Linked DNA regions of Notamacropus eugenii. The protein of the gene in region 2 interacts with the protein of the main gene of each other region in a pairwise test. Links are inferred from orthologs where the notes say so. Each region holds a gene or a part of one and is shown on either strand. Other genes may lie near its edges.

Region 1 (7,292 bases), on a different chromosome or scaffold from region 2:
CAACTTAGGTCCAGATCCTTATAGTCCTACCCCAGGGGCCCTCTCCCTAGTAATACTTTCTTTCTTCCCATTGACCCCACGATTTCCACCCCTACCTACCAGGCTGTAAACCGGAACAGCAAATGATGTATGCAGGAAGCAAAAACCGACTCGTACAAACTGCCGAGCTCACCAAGGTCGGGAGCTTTGGGTTCCTGAGGTGGGGGAGGGGTGGTGTCCATAGGGTTTGGCCACGAGGGTTGTAAGTACCACCCCTTCCTGCCCTGGGACCAGAGAACCACGAGAGGGCACTTTAGATGCTTGAAGACAGATAGCTGGCCCCCCAGCCACTTCTCTGATTGCCTGAGTCCCTGAGATATTTCCCAATCCCCAGTCCATTCATTCTCTCGATCCCTCATTAGGTGTTTGAGATCCGCACCACAGATGACCTGACAGAGACTTGGCTTCAGGAGAAATTGGCCTTCTTCCGTTAGCTGGGGGTAGCCGGAGATGTCCAAGGATCTGGAGACGGGACACCTGGTTTCTGGGAAATGAAATACCCTCCGACAAAATAAACTAGTGAAACCTGACCTGACCCTAGTAGTTATCCTGACTCCGCCCATGCAGCCTCTGCAGGGCCCCATGTGGTCAGCAGAGGGCAGTCAGCCATCACAGAAGTGGGAGGCCGAATGCAGGCAATCCGGGTCCCACTCTGGAGAGGCTTAGGGAAAGGACACCAGGTTCCCTGAAAGGGTAGAGGGCTGAGTGATGGGCCACCTGGGTCCCTAAATGAGCAGAAGGCAGGGGCGCAGAAAGCGTCTGTCCTGAGAGGGAGAACTAAGAGGCACAACAGCTGGGTTTCGAAGAGAAGGAGGCTATAGGAACCAGACATCAGTCCTAGAGAGAGAGGGGGACTGGTAGCTCCCATATTCTTGCAAAAGCTTGCCAGTCATTTTCAGCTTTTCCTTTTCCTTCAAGGAAGGGGTCGGTAGGGGAACCGACACTTAGGGAAAGATAATGAGACTCAAAATTATTTGAGAAAGAGAGTAGAACCACATGGAAGTGCTTTCTGAGGTCTAACCACTCTCCTCAGTGTTGGGGTCAGACTTCTCCTCCCTCCTTCTACAGCTCCACTATAATGTGTGGGTTGGGGGGTAGCTGGAGATACAAGAGAGCATGAGCCAGGCCCGTGCCCCACACCCCTCAGAGATCAAGGTGTGCCCTGGTCCAGAGCAGATGCTTCTTTTGCTCAAGCTGAGGCCATGTTTCCATGGCAACCAGCTATCATCCCCAGGTCTCCAGGCCAGAGAAGTATGTCTCCAACCTCTAGATGAAGGGACTTTACCCCAAGGCTCAAGGGGCAAGGAAGGGGCTCCTCAATTAATTTTCTTTGTTTCTTTTAGGGTTGTGGGTTCTGTTAGGATTGTATCTATGCCCAACCACTGGAAGCAGAGTCCCCAGTTCTTGATCACAGGGGTCAAGCAGAGTTCTCCCCATTTCCCTCCAAAGGTGTCTCCCATTCCTACCTCACATACCTGGATCTCCTTCCTTCCTCCCTTGGTATAGAGGGTTCCTATGATCTCTATAATTCCCTAAACTTGGGGTGGGGGTAGCAGAGAGGAAGCACCCGCCCACCAGACAGCAGGGTTTGTCAATCTGGGAATTAGCATGCAAAGGAGGAGGTGGTGGCAGGAGGAGATTAAAGCAGTAAAGTCACCAAACAATTTAATGTAATTGCTTCAGGGAATGGGGAGTAAGAGGGAGGGAGTAAGATTGCCCACCATCCCTGTCTGAAAGGAGGATCAGCGGTCCAAGTGGACCCCATAGAAAGGGGCCTGGAAAGCCACAGTGGGGGGAAGAGAGAGCCAAAGGATCCCTGTGTTTCCCTTCTCTGACTCCTAGTCTCTAGAGCCAGGAAAGCCCCTCCTCCTCCTCCTCTTCCTCCTTCATTCCCAGGTTACTTGAAGGAAAGTGGTAGCTGTTGCCATGGTAACAATGACATAGTGACCTTGGGCCCCAGCCACCCCAGCCACCATTGATTCCAAGTCTCTGCAGTAGAGGGGCAGGAGTTTCCAGGCTGATCCTTCTCTTACCCCCTTCAGGAGGACTTCCCTTCCATTTCCCTTCTCTCCTATCTCATCTCATAGTCTAATGCCTGTAGCCAGGATGGAGATGCTAGTACCAGGCCTCTTCATAATAAGGCAGTCTGGTGGTCCGGGTAGCACAGAGGCAGACTCAGTCATCCTCCCCTCCAGTTCATATGGAACCCCACCTTTACCCATTTTACTGATCACTGGTTGGACTCTTGGAGACTCATTAGCTCTTCATTCACTGGGTCTCAGCTTCCTTGTCCCTAAAATGGGCAGATGAGAATAAGGCATCACAAGCTCCCAGTTTTAACATTTTGTGATCCCCTACACTCTCTCTCACTCTGATTTGTTGTGGTGGAGGATGGGGGAGTGAGAGATCCCAAGCACCAGAGAAGGAAGGGGTTGAGGCTTCCAGGAAGTGGAAGTTCCATAAGTTAATTAGTAATAAATACCACATAGGAATTATAAATCCCCTGCCCTACCCAAAGAAGAAAAATCTGATTCTTAGTGGATTTGAGGAGGAGCAGGAAGCAGCATGGTACGGTTTGATTTTTTTGCCCCCAAGAGACCTTGGCAGAGCAATTTGTCCCCTTCAATGCAGAAGGTTCAATTAGAGATGGGTGCTGGGAAGGGGACCTGAACTGGGCAGGGCCATCTGGATTGTAGAATAACCAGAGTGGAAATTTCAGAAGCTTTTGTCCAATCCAGGTTGAGTAGAGTGGAGTTTAGTCTGGGGAATTCTAGAAGGACCAGTCAGAGAAGGTACTGAGAAGGCTTCTGTTCAACCCGGAATGGCCAGTATAGGGCAAAACTGGACAACTTGTAGACTGATGAATCAGACAAGGTTACTGAGAGGGTTTGGTGGAATCATTTCCCTTCCATGCCCCTTAGTTTCTACCTCAGTTAAATGGAAGGGTTGACCTGGGTGACCTAGGTCCCTTTTGGCTTAAAGGTGTGTGTGTTCCTATCATTACTAGAATCCCTTGTCTTGTGAGTCTATCCCAAGAGGGTGTTTTGGACCAAAGACTTGTGGAGGGACTGGATGAAGGGGGAGATGGAGAGGATGCTGTAAAAGACTTTTGGGTGATCAGGGATGCTGAGAAGCAGGCTAGGTCTGAAGGATTGCAGAAAGGCCTTGGAGAAGATGAGTGGGCTGGTCTGTTCTAAGTATACCTCCCTCCTCCCTTTCTCACCCCTCTGCCGCACCAAACTCCTAGTCCCAGCTTTCCAGGTTTTGCTCATCCCCAGCTATCCCATCCTTTTTAGACTCAGTCCAGGTGGGGGTCTTCTTGGGGGCGTTCAAGAGAGAACTGAATCATAAAATCATAAATAGACCAATCAGAAGGCCTGATTGGTAGACAGAGAAAAGGTTGGGGTATGGAAAAAAGGAGGAGTATAGGGCTGGGGCTAGGCCAGGTGGATGGGGGAGGCAGACCACAAGGATGCAGACGGGGGCAGAGAAGGCCCTCTTTCACCAAAGATAGAAACTGGCCTCCCCCAGGAAGGAGGTGTCCTTTCTCTGGATCCCAGGTCCGTCTTCATCTCCCACGGCTCAGGACCTCCTTGCTGAGCCCCTACTGTGTGCAAGGTCCAGTCGCCATGGCTGGCGCTGGCGCCCGAGTTTCTGCCCCGATTTCCCGGGCTGTGTCTCTGTCTCCATGCCTCCTGGCTCTCCCCAGCCTTCCCCTTCCATTTCCATCACCATCTCTTCCAGTTCCACGCGGACCCTCCTCCTCCTTCTGCAGCACGACCTCGCCCCCACGCGAGTCCATCTGGTCCGCTGAGGCAGGGGACCAGGGGGACCCTGCCACGCGGGGGTCCCAGACCTGGCATGGCCCCTCCCTCTGCGGACGGGGGTTGGGGGGCGGAGAGAAGCCGGGGCCAAAACCCGACCGCCACGGTGGGGGGCCTCGGCTGGGAGGGGTCCACGGTGCTCTCGCTCCCGGACCCGGGAGCAGGGGAGGGACCCAGGCGCGCCCGCCTCCCCGCCCCCTCGCCCCTCCCTTCCGCTCCCCTCCCCCCTTTTGCAGATCGGGCGCCCGCGCCCCGCGCTGTGCGGAGGGAGGAGCCGCGCGCCGAGCCTCGGCGGTACCGCGCCCCCCCCGCCCCCTCCCCCCAGCCCTCCCGGCCCCGGCCCCCCTCCCTCCTTCCCTCCCTCCCTCCCTCCTCCGTCCCCATCCCCCTTCCCTCTCCGTCCCCTCCCCTCCCCTCCCCTCCCCCCGCCATGGCGCGGACCGAGGCGGCGGCGGCCGGAGCCAGAGCCAGAGCCCGGGACCGGGCCGGGGCCGGGGCCGGGCCCCCCCGGAGGTGAGCCCGGGTCCGGGGCGGGGAGCGCGGGGGACGGGAGCGTGAGCGCTGGGCGATGGGCGCTGTGGATGGAGGACGTGTGCGCTGCGGGCCGTGTGCGCGTGTGTCCGCGCCGCTGCGGTGCCGGGGTCCGGGGGTCCGGGCGTGTCTGGGTGCGCGCGTGTGGCCGGGGCTGCCGGGGCCGGCTCGCGTGCCCGGCATCTGTGGATCTGTGCGCCCTGATGTGTTTGCTCGTTGGTGTGTCCGTGTGTGCTCGTCTGCATGTGTGTGTCCGTGTGTGTCCGCCCGTGGGCCTGTATGTCTCCGAGTCTGTCCATGTGTCTCCGTGGGTGTCCGTGTGTCTCAGGGACAGCTCCTGCCTCAAGCCCTTGGGAGGGGAGCGGCAGGGGGGGCACCGTGGGCCTGGGTCCCTGGGGCTTTCTCTGCGGGGAGGACTCAGTCGTTTTCTCCCCTGCCGGTGAACAGACCTAGGGCTAAGCCAGGGGCTGGGAGCCGGACGCATGGACACCGACTCCAGGGGAGAAAGGTGGAATCTGACCGGAGACTACCCCCTCCCTTTCGAAGGGGGAGGCCAGCCCAACCCTGCCCCTCCTAGCTACATCTCCCAGGATCCTTCAGAATCTGCCCAGATCCGTGGGGATCCTCAGGCCTCACGAGGGAGGGGGCCCTGAGGGACCCTGCCGTAGGCCCAGATCGGATTTTATTTGCAGGATTCTCTCCTCCCTTTCCAACACCAGCACATTTCAGTGTTTTGGGAATGGGGCCTGGAGGAAGCCATGAGAGAGACTCCTGGACCCCATTCCCTCCAAACCCAGACATCCACCCCCCTCACTCTCCCCTTGTCCCCCTCCATCCCAGACCCAACCCTACCTGCCCCATTTCCATCTCAGGAGACTTGACCTTCTGACCCCTCATCTTTGTTCCTTAAATCCTGATTCCCGGAGGCCCAGATTCCTGGTTCTCTTTCCCTTGACTGGGGTCAGGTTTGGTCCTAGACTTCCCCTTTGGGGTGGTGAGAACTGGACCAAGGTGAGGCTGGAGTGAGAGATCCTGGGATCCAAGTGTGATTAGGTCTGCTTGTTACTGCCTGGCTGTGGGTCTGTGTCTTTCTGTGTGTGTGTGTATATGTGTTTGTGTGTGTGTGTGTGTGTGTGTGTGTGTGTGTGTGTGTGTGTGTAAGAAACCATGTGCTACCAGCCAGTCTCCTCCCTTCCCACAGCTTTTTGTGTCTATGTATCTGTGTGTCAGGGTCCCAGCATATATTTTCACTGGCTGGGCTTTTTGTCAACTGCCTGTGTACATGGGGAATATATGTTATATGTGATATGAGTATGTGCAAATACAGGTATGTTCTTATGGTAGGTTGTGCATGCCTTCCAGTGGGGACCTGTATGTGCTGGCACGTGTGAGAACAGGTGTGTGTACAAGCATGTCTAAGCATGTGCTGTGTGTCTTGGCATGACATGGAGATTACACATCAGTGAGGATGTTGAATCTGTGGACCTACCTTCTTTCCTTCTTCCTCAGTGGGCATGAAGGACTGGGAGCCTAGGATACTTATGTTCCCTTTAGAGAGGCAGTTTTGGGATAGAGTGTTGTCTCTGGAATCACAAAGACCCGGGTTCAAATTCTGTCTCTGACACTAGCTTGGAAACCACTGGCAAGCAAGTCAACCTGATTCCCTGAATCTGCAAAATGGGGAGGTTGATAACATTTAGTGCCTATCCCAAAGGTTTTGCTGTGAGGCTCAGATGATATGTAAGTGAATATTAACAAACAAACCATGAGTTGTTCTGGAGGGCCTGGAATCTTGGGTTATCAGGTTTGTGTCAAAGCCCAAAGCTCTGTTGCCCTGGGCCAAAGTGAAGGACTGGGGAAGCTGCAGCAGGAAGGATAAGAGAAAGACTGCAGAAGGGACTTCCCCAGTCCCCAGGTGGGACTGATGGGGGAATGTTGCTGTCTTTCCAGGTGGTGCCGGCCATGAATTCCTGAGGAGAGGTGAGCTGAGAAGTCAGATGCTGGAGGGGGCAGCTTGGAGAAGCATGTCTTGGGTGAAGGGGTAGCTTAGCCTGGTATATGGGGGGGGAGGTTGGAGAAAAACTGGGGGGAAGGTGTCATCTTTCGCCACATGGATAGTCACATATGATAGTGGAAAGGACACCCAGGATAGGAATTTCTTGATGAGGTAGAAGAGGGAAAAGGGAGACAGGTGGCTGACTCTGCTCCTACCAGCCTAGGGGAGGAGTTTGGGTAGAGCTAGTTGATCAGGATCCAGCATATGTAATGTAAGCCCAACCTCCAAGTGATGCTGTGAGATGGGATTGGGGGTCACAACACTGTGGAGGTGGTTTTTGAGGGGCTCCTGCCTGCCCTCCCTAGGCCCAATTTCTCCCTTGCTGGTCCAGACTGAGGGACAGAAACTGAGCAATAGAGGACGAAGAAATCCAGGAGACAAAGGAAGAAAAAAGATAGAGAAACTCAGAGACAGAGATGGAGAAACAGGCACAAGGACTCTGAGACACTGAGAAGCAGAAACGAAAAACTAGATACAAGAAGTGGGAGGCTCAGAGAAATGGAGAAATTGACATAGGGGACTGAAAGGCTGAGAGACAGAGAAGAGAGGAACAGAGAACCCCAAAGACAGTGGACCAGAAATACAGCTTCTGAGGACCTCAGAGATAAGAGAGAGGGGAGGAGAAAGATATCTGAAGACAAATAGACACAGGAAGTGAGAGGGAGAGGGGGGCAGAGACAGAGAGAGAGACAGACACATAGACAGAGATAGAGAGACAGATACATAGGGAGACAGACAGACAAAGAGAAAGATGGACACATAAGAGTACAGAGATAGAGGGAGAAAGATAGACACATAGGAAGACAGAGAGAGACACACATAGGAAGACAGAGAGAGAGACA
Region 2 (7,782 bases):
TATTTATCTGAAATAGAAATGGACAATGGTTTGTTAAGTTTCAGCACATCATATTAATGTTGAATAACTAAATTTCAGATGTCATAAAATACTGGGCATGAATCTAGAATAGTGCAGCTTCATACTTCTAGCTTTGTAACTGTGGGTCAGTCACAACTTCTCAGAGTCAGTTTCATTATTTGTAAAAACTGGAGATAACATTTGAATGGACCAGTTCAAGGAAGCTGTTGTATGGAAAGCAGTTAACATATTTCAAAATGCTATAATGATAACAGCTAATATTTGTCATGAAAAAATATTAAGGACCATGCCCTAATACTCTAAAGTTAATATTGGGGGAAAATATGGAAAGTTATGGTGGGATAAAAACTTTTGTCCTATTAAAACAAAAGAATATTTGCCCTTCTTTTCACTGGAATTCTGCTAAGAACTTAAAGTATTCAAAATTGTGCCAAAATGAAGGATTATTACCTCTTTTGGAGCCTCCTTTTCTATGAAGTCAGTATAAATTTTCCGAGCCTTTGAGTTCAACTTCTGGGGAGACTTGGTTTTCTTGAAGTCTTCACAAGCCAGCCAGAATTCTATGTTTTCTTCACAAAACTCAGACTTTAAAAAAGCCCTAAATGCAGCAAGACCATCTAGAGAGGAGGGAAATGTGAAGAATTTATTAAAATAAAAATGTCTTACATTACTTTCTGTTATTTATCTTTTCAACAAACCTAAGACTTCAATACAGGATTTTCTATGTTGCAGTAACTTGCCAGAATTTACTCAAACTTGCAAAGCTCTAGGTTTCAGAGTTTAAATGCCAGCAGGTAAATTTCTTAAGGTTGGCACATTGCCATTCCAGAGCACCTTCAAATATATAAAAACTACGCTATCAAGGAAAAAGAAATAGCTCTGGTGGAACCATAAATCCTATTGAACTAAGCCCTTTGAAAACATTGTTTGCAAAGGAAAAGTTGACTCAACCTTAACTGTGAACAAATGCATTTGTAATCAGGCTGAGTCTCACTCTCTCACTCTCTTCCCACCTGAGGATATTTTACTGGAGGTATAACAATACACACAATTCCACTGGTTATTAAAAAAAAAAAAGGACATTTGTTTGAATTTAGGGCAGAACTTCCTCATAATGAGGGGAAAAGAAAAAAACAACTAATCCAAACCTTACTTATGTTACAGGACTTGACCCTGGAAAACAATTGCAATGTCCAACTTCTAAAAATACATCAATCTAGTTTATAATCCATGGATTCAGCTACCGAGATTAAAATCACTTCAGATTGAGTTTAATATTTCCACTTACATTTACTGGCAAGAAGCTCATCAAAAGTTTCTGACCACAGCTGTGCTTCTTCAGGAGAAGGTCTGCAAAAATGAGTGCATACATTTAAAAAAAAATTTGAATTTCTCCTACTTCAAAGAAAAGGCAAAATGCACATTAGACAAAAGTCCACTGTTAAGTTTGGGATCTCTAACTTACCTAATAAAAGCTTGCTGTTTGCCTTTCTTGTTGGCTTTTGGCTTCTCAGGTGTGGATGAGTTTTGAAGGAAGTAGCTTAAACGTGTCTTCCAGTCTTTTATGCTAAAAGGAAACAATCATATTCAGTGAGTGATGATGCTTTATCATTATAGCTGCCCACATTTTACCAAGTACTTCTATTCATACCAGAAACAGAATCTTAAACGACAGAAAGACAAATAAGACCTTACCAAAATAAAAACCTAAGCACTGCAGTGAAATGAACCTTTCTGCACTAATAATGTTTAAGCTTATCTTGAATGATCTGAACATGGCTTTTGGTTTTACTGGTTCATTAAGTAGCCAAGGTGAGGTTGCTTTAATGATTGAGAAACTTTAAGTCATCCTAAAAGTGGTGAATGAAACAGGTTTTCCTTTTGGCCAGTGTGAAATTTTAGTTTCTGCAACACTATGACAACTCTGGGCCATTTTCAGTCATCTGGTGAAATCTACTTCAATGACACTGAAATGAGTCAGAGCAGTCTAATTAGTTTCCTCCTTACTCCCCCCCCCCCCCCTCCAAAAATTGAAGGCTTTGGATAAAGCCCTACGTGGAAAGTTTGTGCAACAGTTCTCAAAAGCAATTCTAAGTTTCTCCTTTCAAACAAAAGAGCTTTAATACTTTCTAAGAAGAGAGAAGCCAAAGAAGTAGGTCTCCTAGTTTAATAACTCTTCTCACTTGGGAAGTAAATTCGTAAGCCCAGCACCTGCTGTATCAATAAAGGCATCCCTGTCCAAGGAGCAAGATAGAAGTCGGGCAGAGCTACCGACCTGGAGAGTTAGAATACGGAGAAAAAGGCTGGAACTCGGGAAGACAGGATTTTCAGGCTACTTTTATTTTTCTTTAATGAGGGAGTGGAGGGAGTATGATTTCTTCTTTTAAAAATCGAGGAATGTCCGGGGATTAAATGCATCCCAATTTATTCTTCTTGGCTTAAATAAGAGAACAAGACCCTCCCTCCCCCTAACTGTGATAAATAAAAACCGCTACAACCTTACTTTAGTCTCCTTTAAAGACTGAGATACAGCCTGTTATAAAGTAACCTCTTACTATGCTTTTCTAACCGGGGGAAAAGCTTCCTGATGCCTAGTGTTTCTGAAGAAATCCCATAAAAGGAGAAGAAATGGGAGTAGGTGGGAGAGATGCTTACATCGTGCGCTTCATCTTTTCTCTCTTCTCTTCGCCCTTTGGGTAGCTGCTGGCACTTTTCTCCATGGAGCCGCAGTTGGGTTGGAAAGCCAGGAACATAGCACTTTGCATGATACAGATCCGAGAACTGGGCTGAAGACGGCAGTCGCCTCTGAAGGCTCCTCCTGGAGCCGCCGGGCTTTATAAGACTCGGAGGCTGGGGAAGGCGAGGGCGATGGCGTTCGACTCCGCCCCGCCGCAGAGAGGATTTGCTGGGAACAAAAGATATGTCAGCGACCGCCTCGGGAGTCCCCGCCACCCTTCACTGGGGCTGGAGCTGAGGACAGTGCTGACGTGAGTGCTCCCTGTGAGTTCATGCGCAGTGATGCCAAAACGGAGCTGGAAACTCTGAAAGGGTTTTTTTTTGCGGGGTGAGGTGGGGGGGGGGGGGGGGGGGGAAGGGAATAAACAAAGATCTCTCACTGTATGGCTCAGGCTGTTAACCTTTTTCGTGCGTGCTGCGGGGCTCACCAGACGAACCTGGAGCCACCTTGGATGGAAAGAGCGGTTCTTGATTCAGGGAGAAAGGAGAGAGATGGGCACGACTCGGTGTGCTCCCCCTCTTCTTCCCACCTCCTCACCCCATGAGCCAAAAGACACCTCATAAGAATCGTGTTTGAAATCTGGGCTTCAGCATCTCCGCCCTGGTACATCTCACTCCATTGTATATTTTAATTGAAAAGTGAAGCTTTTTAACTGAGAAAATTGCTTTAATTTGTGAACTGTCAGAGACTTTTTTTAAAAAAAAGTCAATCCTTGTTTAATTGATTGGCTCAGAGCCTAGTAAATTACTTTCCGAGACTGATTAGTTTAAAGCAGTCAGTACTTAGAACCAAACTCGCCTCACCAAGTATTATGCCTTTCATTGAAAACTGTCTCACCTTTTTCAAAGGGTGTTCGGAACCCTGCTGTGGCTGACTTCGGCCAGATTGATTCTGAGATACATTCATCTAACTCAGGTCTCAGCTGGACGCTTTCCTGCCCCAGGTCAGTTCCTCTACGTCTGTTTAAGGAACTGACCTGGGAAGCCCTTCAAGATGTCCTTAAAACGTTCGTGTCAGGGCAGCCTGGTGAATGCAGTTATGCTGAATGACCTCCCACCTGGACCTTCTCTGCAGGGCTCCCAAATAGGATTGTGTCCACCTTGTTCTATTTAGGGGAAAATCTGATCTAATCGGGAAGGGGAAGTGCTTACTTTTGACACAGCCATTGTAAGAATCTCAGGTTTGACCAACACACCTAAGACAATGTTTGGAAACAGGAATTGTTCAAACAAAAAAGTAGAAGGAAGGTGTTAGTTTATCAGAATACAATAATTGAAATCTAGATTTCATAGATCTAGAGCTGAAAGGAATCTCAGAGGTCATCTAGAGATCAACCCACTGTTTTAAAGATGTTGAAAATGAGGTCCAGAGGTTGTGATTTGCTCAAGGTTAGACAGGTAGTCAGAGGCTGGTTGGGTTGAATCACAGACCCTAAGGATGGATGTCTCTCTGACCACATCTCTTTATTCCACCATGTTAGATTTTTAACTCTTTTGCCCCTTAGTGCTAAGTACTTCCACTTAATGCTAAGCACCTACTATCAGTTAAGCAAGGTGGTGAAATGGATAGAGCACCGGGCCTGGAGTCAGGAAGACCTGAGTCTTCAGATCCAGTCTCAGTTACTAGCTGTGTGACCCTGGGCGAGTCACTTAACCCTGCTTACTTCAGTTTCCTTATCTCTAAAATGATCGAGAAGGAAATGGCAAACCACTCCAGTATCTTTGCCAAGAAAACTCCACATGGGTTCGCGAAGAATTGGACACAATGACAGATTATTGAACAACAACGACTGATTTATTTTCATCCATCGCCTGCTCATGGCTCTCTACCTCTCCCCTCTCCTCTCCAATATTTTATCCTGTAGAAAGATGTAGGGATTTTGGCTCTTAGGTGTGTTGGAAGTGTTTGTTCATGTGTTTTGGTGGAACAGAATGTTTAAGCTGGAAGTCATTGTAGAGGCCATGCAGTTCTGCCTCCCTTTTGCAGATGTGATAACTGAGGTTCTTGGGGCAAAGTGACTTATCCAAGGCCACTTAACAAATAAGTAAAAGATACAGGTCTCAAACCCAGGTCAAGTTTAGGGTTCATTCCATTATATATGCTTATTAACCTGGCTCAATTCCAGAATCCGTATAGAGAGACCGGGGTTCATTCTGAACCATGTTATTTTTAGAAGCATAGGCGTGCAGAGTAAAATTTTCCTGTACATTTGACATTTGGCAGAATTAGGATGTACAAGTATTTTATGTTTCAATATATTTGAATATTATGTATTTAACCTTTCTCAAGTTTTTGACACGGAGTGCTGACCATAAAGAAGAAAAGACCTCCACGGTACTATAATTTGCATTTCTCTGCAACACCTCCAGAATTGAGCATAATCCTATTTATGCTGAGGCAGCTCAAAAGCTTTCACTTGTCTATCATGTATCGTGATAGTTAATATTAATTGATTTTATGAAATGATTGTGTAAAGTCAGTGTTCAGTTGAGGAAAATTAAATTACTGCCTACTCATCAGATGTGTTCTATCCTCTGTACTATACAGTTCAACTCTGTGACTGCAGAGAACATCTTTATCGTGCAGCGGAATATTCAGGTGCCTTTTATTTCTCCATCTCCTCCCCTCTCTACCCCACCTCCACTTGCACACAGTGTGAAAAGAACACAATAGATATGACAGCTGGGACTGGATCTATTGTATCAGCTACATTATCTTTGCAAGGCAAATGGATAATTTTGCCAATGAACCACAAGTCTTTGTTTCCTATGTAATTCCAAATCGTTTCCTATCAAGAATCTAATCTGATTGTAAAAGTTACAGCAAAGTATTGGCATGGTTGCAAATCTCACCTTTCTTTAGACTAAAGTGCAGTTATGAGTGAACTATAATTATTCTTATGTTCATCTGCCAGTAGCTGGAGCTCTAAGGATGGAAAAAATACATGGCCACGGACCACAGGGGCAGAAGCTTCACCTATTTTAATAACAGAAGAATAAGGCTGTTGTGTAATCCTGGAAAGGCACTTGATTCTGAAACGTTAGATGACCCACAGGTATTTAATTTATATTTTCCCTCAGTCTCTTGGGGAAAAATTAAGGAAGTAAGAAGCATGCATGCTTTCTTTTTCTAATACTGTAAAATGGTTTTTGTATCTCTATCTCTTCCCTCTTTCCATATGCTCCTTCCCCCATTCCAGCTTTTATGTATGCATAATTTGGAATCTTAGAAGGTATAGTTGAACTGGGATTCATGGAAAACCAGTAGTTCAAATAAGATTAGGAAATAGGATATGCATAATTACAGGTATTAAAATATTCAAAGAATTTTATAAATGAATTTTTCTAGGAATTATGTGTACTAATTATAACATAATTAAAATTGTCTATGACTATTACAATATTTAGGAAAGATGGTAAGAGTATTGTGAGTATTTAATTTTGATAGTTAATATAGTTACTATATTGTACAGAGAATCTACATTAAAATGTATTTTTGCAGGAATGGTATTTAATAAAATAAAGATTTTATTACTGCCCTTAAATAGAAAAGTGCTTCATTTGATTATATGCTTCTTTATTTCTTCTTGCAAATAGACTTTAGTCAAAGTGGATTACTTAATTTGAAAATGGCACATATTTTCCATCCTGTGTTGGTAATAAACACAAAAAGCAATAAACTTCGCTCAAGTCTAGCAGCCTGAGAACTTGACTATGTTCTTGTTGAAATGACCATGCCCCCTACTGGTAAGATTTTTGACCAAATACAGAGAGATCCAGCTCCTGGATTTATTTTTAAATTTTTATAAGATTTAAACCTGTTAAGGATACTATTGAATCTCAGATCTGTTGAAGTATTATTTAACTAATACCTCAATGATAAAAGGCTAAAATGTTAGCCTTTGACCATATATAGAAGAAATAAATAGAAAAAAAAATTCTAGCCCAGAATTTATACTATTTCAGGAAGCTCAAAAACTTTCACTTCTCTTACCATGTATTGTGGTAGCTGATATTAATTGCTTCTTATAAAAGGAACTTGTGAATTCCACACTACTTCCCACTCATCAGACGTGCTCAGAAATAGTCCTCATGTTCTATTAATACCTTGTTAAAATTTGCATTTTTCAGAATCTGTTAATAAGTTCTTTTATTGAAGCACTTGATTCAGTTTATAAGTACCCTCTTTGATACCACATGTTGGAGAAGACTTGTTCTCCTCAACTTTACTCAGTACAAAATCCTGATTATAGGAAATATGTCTTTTTGGAAATCCTTACTTTGAGTAGTTCTATAGAGGCAGCTGGTTGATAATGCGGATAGAGTACTGGGCCTGAAGTCCAGTTTAAAGCAACCATAGATACTTAACATCTCCTCCACAGCCATCTGAATCCAGTGACCAGATATTCATCAGGATGACTGGAGATGACCCAGGATGCATTGGGAGACCTTGACCCCTTTAGGTCAAGGTCTTTGCAGGTACTCACTTAGGGTGAGGCAATGCCCATTCATTGAATAGGCCTGTTTAAGAAGCATCCAGGGCATGGCCCATTTAATGAGGCCAAGAAAAAGAAAGACATCAGACTGGGAGAGAAACAGCAGCAGTGACTGTGGATAATCACTCTAAAGCTAGAAGGGTCCAGAATAGCCCTTAGGCAGGACCCCATTAGCATCCCAGCTTTGGAGTGCAGTAGGTTTAAGGTTTTGGGAGAGCAGAGCAGGGGAGAGGAGAGGAATTAGCCAGTAAAACCGAGTCAACTGGGCATCTTTTGGCCATCCAAATTTACCTTTCTTTGGAGAGCAGAAGGAAGGGGAGGGGGAAGCAGACGGAGAGGAGGAGCTGAGTTACCCAGCTAGCTGGGTCACCATTCAGCCAGCTGAGTCTTCTCACAGGTTTGTCTTCGTCCTTCAGTTGCTGAAGAAGACCATGCCATCAGAGAAAAGATAACATGACTTGCACTTGACTTGCACAGCTCTCCCTCACTCAAAACAAAGGGACACCAGTGGGGTCCTACCTATGGGCTA
Region 3 (6,868 bases), about 370 Mb from region 2:
AGGCAGATGGGGAAACTGGGTTCCCAGAGAGGCCAGACAAGGAGGGGTAGGGAGGGGGGTAGGCGGACCTGAGCAGGAGGGAGGGGCTAGGTCCTAGAATAGGTAACCACACCTCAGCCTCCACCCCCATCCTCCTTTTCCAGGGGGCTGGAGATGACTACGATCCTGGCAGGCAGATGTAGCAGCAACAACGAGAAAGGGAAACTCCAGTGAGGGAGGACATAAAGCCAGAGCCAGACTTTTCAGGAATGGAGTTTGAGCCCCTTGCACTCCATTGAGACATTCCCCACTCCAGATCAATATTGACCCTGGACTCATGATAAGGTAATGCCAGACAGAGAGGGGTCAAGGCAGGAAAGGGAGATCTGGGAAGACTATAAACCTAGCATGGCCCCAGTCCCCTAGCAGTCCCTGGGCTAAGGTACTCAGTCATCTTAATTCCTTCCAGAGCACCCCAGCCTAGGGCCAGGGGACTGGGGGTAGACAGCCTGTGGAGGGGGGAGAGAGTGGGAAGGGGAAGTATGCTGTGCCAAGCGGAGTCAAGTGACAAGGGAAAGGAGGCTGGAGCCAACTGGAATGTAAGACTGGAGCCGAGATTCCCAGGGGCGGGAGAGGGGAGAGCCCAGCAATACAGATGGCTCCAGAGCAAGCCAAAGGACCCCAATTTCCCCATAAGGAGAGTCTTGATGTCCTCATTTCCACCTCCCTAGAGTCCCCATAGCCTTTCCACCCCAATTTAGAGGTTCCCAAGTCATCATCCCAGGACCTTTTTCTTTCCCCACAAGCCCTCATGTCTTTGTATCATCTAAATTCCCCTGAGGACCCTATGTTTCTCCAATTCCACACAGCCACATCTCATTTGCTAGGAGTTCCCATGTCCTTGGCTATCCTCATCTTGCCAGGCAGTAAGCTTCAAATGGCAATTTAGAATAGGAAAAGGAGCAGGACTAAGTAGGTCCAAAGTCCTAACTAGCAGTGTGACCTTGGGCAAGTCATACCTAAAGTAGCTCTGTGGGCCTCCATTTCCCCACCTGTTAAAGGAGATGATTGGACTAGATGATTTATAAGGGGTCCTCTGGCTCTAGCAATCTATGAATTTACTGCCCATGGGGGACAGCACAGCTGTGTCAGGGAGAGCAACTGGAGAAGCTGAAGGCTGGGGAGGGGGCAACAGGAGAATGAAGCTCCCAGCTCAGCAGACCACCCAACCACTGTTGGGAAACATCAAGAAGAAGGAAAGATCAAGCTGGATGGACCTCCCATAATAGGCTAGATTTCCTCCTGGAGATGCAGCTGGCTCTGGGAAGAAGCAGGAAAACAGCTGGGGGGACAGAAAGCAAAGGAGCCTTCATATAAAAGGTATTTGGGGGTGAAGGTGGGGGAGGTTGGTAATAACCAAACTGGGAAGGCCTGATACTTAGATCACTGAACCATGCTCTGGTCCTATTGTGAAAGAAAATGAAAATAAGAATCATAGATAAAGGAGAGGAGTTTGGGGGGGGGGGTCACTAAAATGGGGAGATAAAAAACTGAAAGGAAAAGGAAAGAGCCTCTTGGCTGAGAAACAGAAAGGTGAGAAAGAAGGAGGGGATGAGTCTGGGGATCCTAAAGAAAAGTGGGGAAAAGAAAAGAGGAAGATGCAAAGGAACAACTGAGGGAGGTAGGTGTGGAGAAATAGGGTAAGGCTAACAGAATTCTAGTAAATTTCAGAGGACCACGTTAGTGCTGGTGAACACAAAAAGCACCTGTTTTCAGGGAAATTACAATCTAAAAAAAGCTATAACATACACAAATATCTATAAATACAAAATTACTTTAGTGAAGTAAAAGAGAGAAGTGAAAAGAGAAGTAAAGACAAAGATGTGAGGAACTACATTCTGGTGTGGGGAGCAGGGAGTAAGAGGAGGAAACAGGGAAGGCTTCATCCACAAAGCAACAGTTAAATTACACCTTAAAGCATGAGGAAGAATTCAACAGAGGGGAAAACATTCCAGGCATAGAATACCCTGTGAGTATAAGCACAGAGGTAGAAAATTCCAAGCCACTGTACAGTGGGTCCACTCTGATTGCTGCATAAAATACTCCAAGGGGGAGGGGAGGGAAGTAGTATAAAAGAAGACTAAGATGGATGAGTGGTACTAAATGGAGGTTCTTGAATATTAAGGAGATTGAACTTTGTAGATAATAGGAAACCATAGGAAGGTTTTGAGCAAAGGAGTGACATGGCCAGTTCAATGTAAAAGCAAGATTAGTTTAATAACCCTTCGAAGGAATGACTGAAGGGAGAGGATAGTAAAAGCGTGAGAAACTGAAAAAAAGGGGGTGTGTATAAAATAGATGTATGGAGAGGGTAACCAGAACTGAGGGAGAGAAACATACAAGCTGAGGAGCAAGGGAAATGAAAAAGTCACTAGAAGCAAGAAAGGGAGTGATGGAACACAGAAGATAGGGAGACTAAGAGAAAAAAGGGGAAAGATGAAGGATATTGAAGTGGAAGATGAGGTCACATAGATCAGAAAGTCCACAACCTAGTAGCATCCTACCCACCTCAGCTCCCAACCCCCATCCCTTTCCCTAGCACAATTCTCCACACCCTAACTATTCCACATTCCCTATTCCTAATAGGCCCCGTTTCCCCTCCCATCCACTCCTGCTACCTTCTTTCCCCATCCCCAATCTTCTCTCCCCTCCGCCCTTCTCTTCCAGGCAGTGACTTGGTCTGTCCCTCCCTTTCTGTCTGTCCTTTCTCCCAGAGAGGGACGTCCAAACCGCAGTCCTTCCAACCCCCAGATCACTCACCTCTTCATTCCCCCACCTCTGACCTGTGGCTGGGCTCAGGGATCCCCTGGGTCCTTTCCGTTTAGGCCCAGAATTTGGAGGGGGGGGTGCCTGCCGTGGGGCCCGAGGGCCTCCCGGTTCCTTGGCTTTGTCCACTCAGGGCGGTGCTTAGTCCCAGCACAGGATCCTGGGAGCAGCTGCCCCGACCAGCTGCGGCCGGCTTTGTGGTGGTCATGGCAACGCCAGTCCCATACCCCTCTTCCAAGCCTTCTCAGCCCCCGCTGGGAGAGTAGTGCTAAGAGCCAGGCAAAGTGGGGGAGGGCAAGGTTAGGTGGAGAAAAGCCGAGTAAGAAAGGAGGCTGCATGGGAAAATAGAACAACAACAAAACAGCTAGACAAAGCGACAGCTTGAACAAAGGGAGATTTTTTTTTTTAAGAGGCAGAGATGTGAGGATACAACATGTGTGGCCCCTTTTATTCAGTCAGCAAGATAGGGCAGCTGTAGGACTGGCACAGGTAAGGGATGCAGGTGAGAATCCATTCTATGGGCTGAAAGGAGCAGCCTTTGCACAGAAGCAGAGACTGGAATTTGGTGGTAATGCACAGTAGGGATAGCAGCTCACAGAATCACTGATCAGAGACAGAAGGGGCTGTCAAACCTCTCTACCAGGAATTTTCCAACATAGCAAACTCTACAAGTGGCCATCCAAACGCAGATGAGAGATCTTCAATGAGGAGGAACCTTCCTCCTTCCAAGATAGCCTATTACACTTTTGGTCAGTGTTCATTGTTTGGAAGTTTTCTCTAAATCAAAACTGGAATTTGAATCTTTGCAACATCCATGCATTGGTCCTGATTCTGCCGTCTGTGGCCAAACTAGACAAGTCTAATCTCTCTACCACATGATAACCTTTAAAATACCAGAAGACATATATTAAGTCTCCCAGAGGCTTTCCTTTTGGCTTCACACGTCATCCCTGGAGAGTTTGTTCTTTGACTCTGAGTTATAGAAAACCAGAGTCACCTGAGTTCTATGGTTTATGTCTGAGCCCTAGTGGATAGACAGGGGTAGTGCTTAAACAGGGGCCCCAAAACCATAGTGAGGAAAACGGGGCCAGCAGGTGATAAAATCTCTCAACAAACTCTGAGGGGTCAACTCTAGGCCTGTTTATGCCCACAAACAATGTCATCATCGGTATTTTTTATTGTAACTATAGTTTCTGTATTTTCCAAGTCAAAATACCATTTCCTAGGTCCTACTTCCCTATGAAGGATGTCTATTAGAATATAAGCTTCTCCCCAAAGAGATCAAAGAAAAAGGAAAAGGGTCCATCTGTACATCAATATTTGTAGAAGCTCCTTTTGAACTATAAACAGAAGATGCCCGTCAGTTAAAAGATGGTTGAACAAATTATGGTATATGAATGGCATACAGATAAGTAATGGTATATGTAATAGTATTATACCATAACAAATAATGAGTGGGATGTTTCTGAGAATTCTGGGAAACTTATATGATTTGATGCAAATTAAAAGTGAGCAAAACTTTGAAAGAGCTTTTGGAAGACTGATTCATTCGATAACCAACCATAAGTCTTGAGGATCAGTGAGTGATGCAGAATGCTACTCACTTCCCAACTGAGAGGTGATGGAATCAAGGTACAGAATGAAACATACTTTTGGACATTGAAAATGTGTAGATTTATTTTGCTTGACAATGCTTATTTGTTACAAAAAAGATTTGGTTTTTGGTTTTTGGAGAACGGGGAAGCTAGCAATAGCATTGCTTGGAGAAAGAAAGGAAAAAAGAAGAAAAAAGGGTCTTTAAAGCAGTTTTTTTAAAAATACAGAAGAGATCAAAAGAAAATACAGAGAACAGTTATCATTGTAGTAAAGGTACTCAAAACTATGCCATACAATGATCAATATAATATTCTCAGTTTCTTTAGCCAGAAGACAGAATTTAGGAGGAATAGTTAGAAAGGTTGTTGTCTTTGAGTTGTCCTCTGATCTTTTAATTGTCAAATGCGGTGGCCTTTTCTCAGTCCTCCTTGACCTCTGGGCAGCACTTGACAGTTTTGATCACCCTCTATTCTTGGGCATTTTAGCTTCTCTGGTTTTTTTGTACCACTGCTTCCGTGGCTTTCCTTCTAATTTTCTTCTACCGCTCTTTCTCAGTCTCCTTTAGAGGTTCATCATTCTTTATCATGCCCTTTAACAGTAGATGTACCTCTAAAGCTCTGTCCTGGGTCCTCTTCTGTTTTTTCTCTATACTTTCTCTCTTGGTGACTTCATCAACACCCATGGGTTTAATTATCATCTCTAATCTGATGACTTCTAGATCTATACATCTAGCCCTAATCTTTCTCCTAAACTTCAATCCCACGTCACAAACTGCCTATGAGACATTTAAAACTGTATTCCCATAGGCATGTCGAATTCAATATATCCAGAACTCATTAACTTTTTCCCAAAACTCACCCTTCTTCTAGCCCTATATCTATCTAGGATATCACCATTTTTCAGCTCAAGTTAACAACATCTAACAACATTTTCACTTGTTATTCTCTTACATATCCAATCAGTTGCCAAATCTTGTCATTTCTATCTCCACAGTACTTGTCTTATCTGTTCCCTTTTCACTTACCAGGCCACCACCCTCATTCAAGCCCTCATAACTTCTTGCCTGAACTATTTCAACAGCTTCTTAATTGGTATATCTGCCTCATCTCTCCCAACTATAACCTATCTTTCAAATAACTACTAAAGTGATTTTCCATGCCACTCCCCTACTCAATATTCTCCAGACGCTCCCATTACCTCTAGGACTAAATGTAAATTTCTCAGTCTGGCATTTAAAGCCCTTCATAATCTGCCCCCAACCTACCTTTCCAGCTTTATCATATATTAGTCCCCTTTAACATCCAGCCAAACTAGCCTTTTTATTCTTCTTTAGGATAAAGGCACTTTATCCCCCATCTCAATGCCTTTGAATTTCCCATCCCCCATTTCTATAATGTACCTTCCCCTCTTTAAAATCCCTAGTTTCCTTCAAGGATCAGATTAAATACTATTTTCTACAGTAAATCTTTTCTGTCCCCTCAGTCACTAGTACTTGAATAAAATTCAAGATTTTATCTTGAATCTGTTTTGGATATGCAATGCCTGGCATATAGTTGGTGTCATTTGTCCTTCATTTTGAAGGGCCAATATATAGAAATTTTTTATATTTAAGTAATTTATGTTTAAGTGAAAGAGTTGTACAAAGTCATCAGTTTCACTTTCTCTTTTTTATATAATATTTTATTTTCCCCAATTATATTTTAAAAGAACTTTTAAGATATTTTAAAAAAAAGTTTTGAGTTCCAAATTCCATGACCACTCTCTTCCAGAATAATCACAGTTCAGTGGCAAGGCAAAAGTCAGAACAACTAGAGATGGCCTGAGATGCAGTGAATGACCTTGGAGTGGAGTCTTTGATGTCTGATCAAGCTCTAACTACTCCACAGAGCCCACTTCAGCTGCCTTCATGGCCTCTGGAATAAATTGTCCTCATCTTTCCATTGCACTGGGGAAAGTCTTCACATGTTTGTGGTAGACATCCTTCTAACTCACCAATGGATTTGAGGTCAGTCAGTTACTGTCAACCTGGTCTAGCCCATCTGCCAAGATGGTTTTACCAGAGTGTGACCACTGCACATGCTACATACAGCTTCTTGGACCCACGTGTGAGAGTTGGGTCAAAGATGGGAGCATCCCTGAAAACAGCCCTCACACCAAAGGTACTACTCCTCCCTGAATATCCCATGTATCCCTCGCATATAGTATGTGCTAAATAAATTCTTTATTTATATTACCTATCTTTGTGTGTGTGCACGTGTGTGTGAATGTGCTGTGTCTTCCCAAGACTGTAAGCTCCTTGAGGGCACAAATTATTTCACTATTATCTTTCTATCCCTAAGACCTAGCATAGTTTCTGACACACAGCTATCCATTAACATTTGCTGATGTAGTATTTGAAGGGCTATAATGTTGAAAAATATATTAGACTTGTTCATTGGTGGACCCAGAGCTATAGGTAAAAGTTACA

The links. The genes of interacting proteins can lie anywhere in the genome.
Region 1: the proteins of RGS2 (region 2) and LRFN1 interact in a two-hybrid assay, tested with the Homo sapiens proteins (2 studies listed by BioGRID and IntAct). The link is inferred for Notamacropus eugenii from reciprocal best matches to the Homo sapiens genes RGS2 and LRFN1.
Region 3: the proteins of RGS2 (region 2) and DDR1 interact in a two-hybrid assay, tested with the Homo sapiens proteins (2 studies listed by BioGRID and IntAct). The link is inferred for Notamacropus eugenii from reciprocal best matches to the Homo sapiens genes RGS2 and DDR1.

Annotation. Positions count from the first base shown.
Region 1 is NC_092876.1:32,141,758-32,149,049, reverse strand, and holds the start of LRFN1 (leucine-rich repeat and fibronectin type III domain-containing protein 1), read left to right. Parts: upstream 1-4,290; 5' UTR 4,291-4,376; intron 4,377-6,344; exon of another isoform or gene 6,345-6,374; intron 6,375-7,292. Other genes in the region: GMFG (glia maturation factor gamma), read left to right, coding at 103-176, 402-473. UniProt on the Homo sapiens protein: Promotes neurite outgrowth in hippocampal neurons. Involved in the regulation and maintenance of excitatory synapses. Induces the clustering of excitatory postsynaptic proteins, including DLG4, DLGAP1, GRIA1 and GRIN1.
Region 2 is NC_092873.1:449,848,750-449,856,531, forward strand, and holds the start of RGS2 (regulator of G-protein signaling 2), read right to left. Parts: upstream 3,011-7,782; 5' UTR 2,787-3,010; coding exon 2,677-2,786; intron 1,589-2,676; coding exon 1,487-1,588; intron 1,372-1,486; coding exon 1,310-1,371; intron 639-1,309; coding exon 472-638; intron 8-471; coding exon 1-7. UniProt on the Homo sapiens protein: Regulates G protein-coupled receptor signaling cascades. Inhibits signal transduction by increasing the GTPase activity of G protein alpha subunits, thereby driving them into their inactive GDP-bound form.
Region 3 is NC_092873.1:84,698,146-84,705,013, reverse strand, and holds the start of DDR1 (epithelial discoidin domain-containing receptor 1), read right to left. Parts: upstream 3,003-6,868; 5' UTR 2,800-3,002; intron 1,360-2,799; exon of another isoform or gene 1,135-1,359; intron 162-1,134; exon of another isoform or gene 1-161. UniProt on the Homo sapiens protein: Tyrosine kinase that functions as a cell surface receptor for fibrillar collagen and regulates cell attachment to the extracellular matrix, remodeling of the extracellular matrix, cell migration, differentiation, survival and cell proliferation.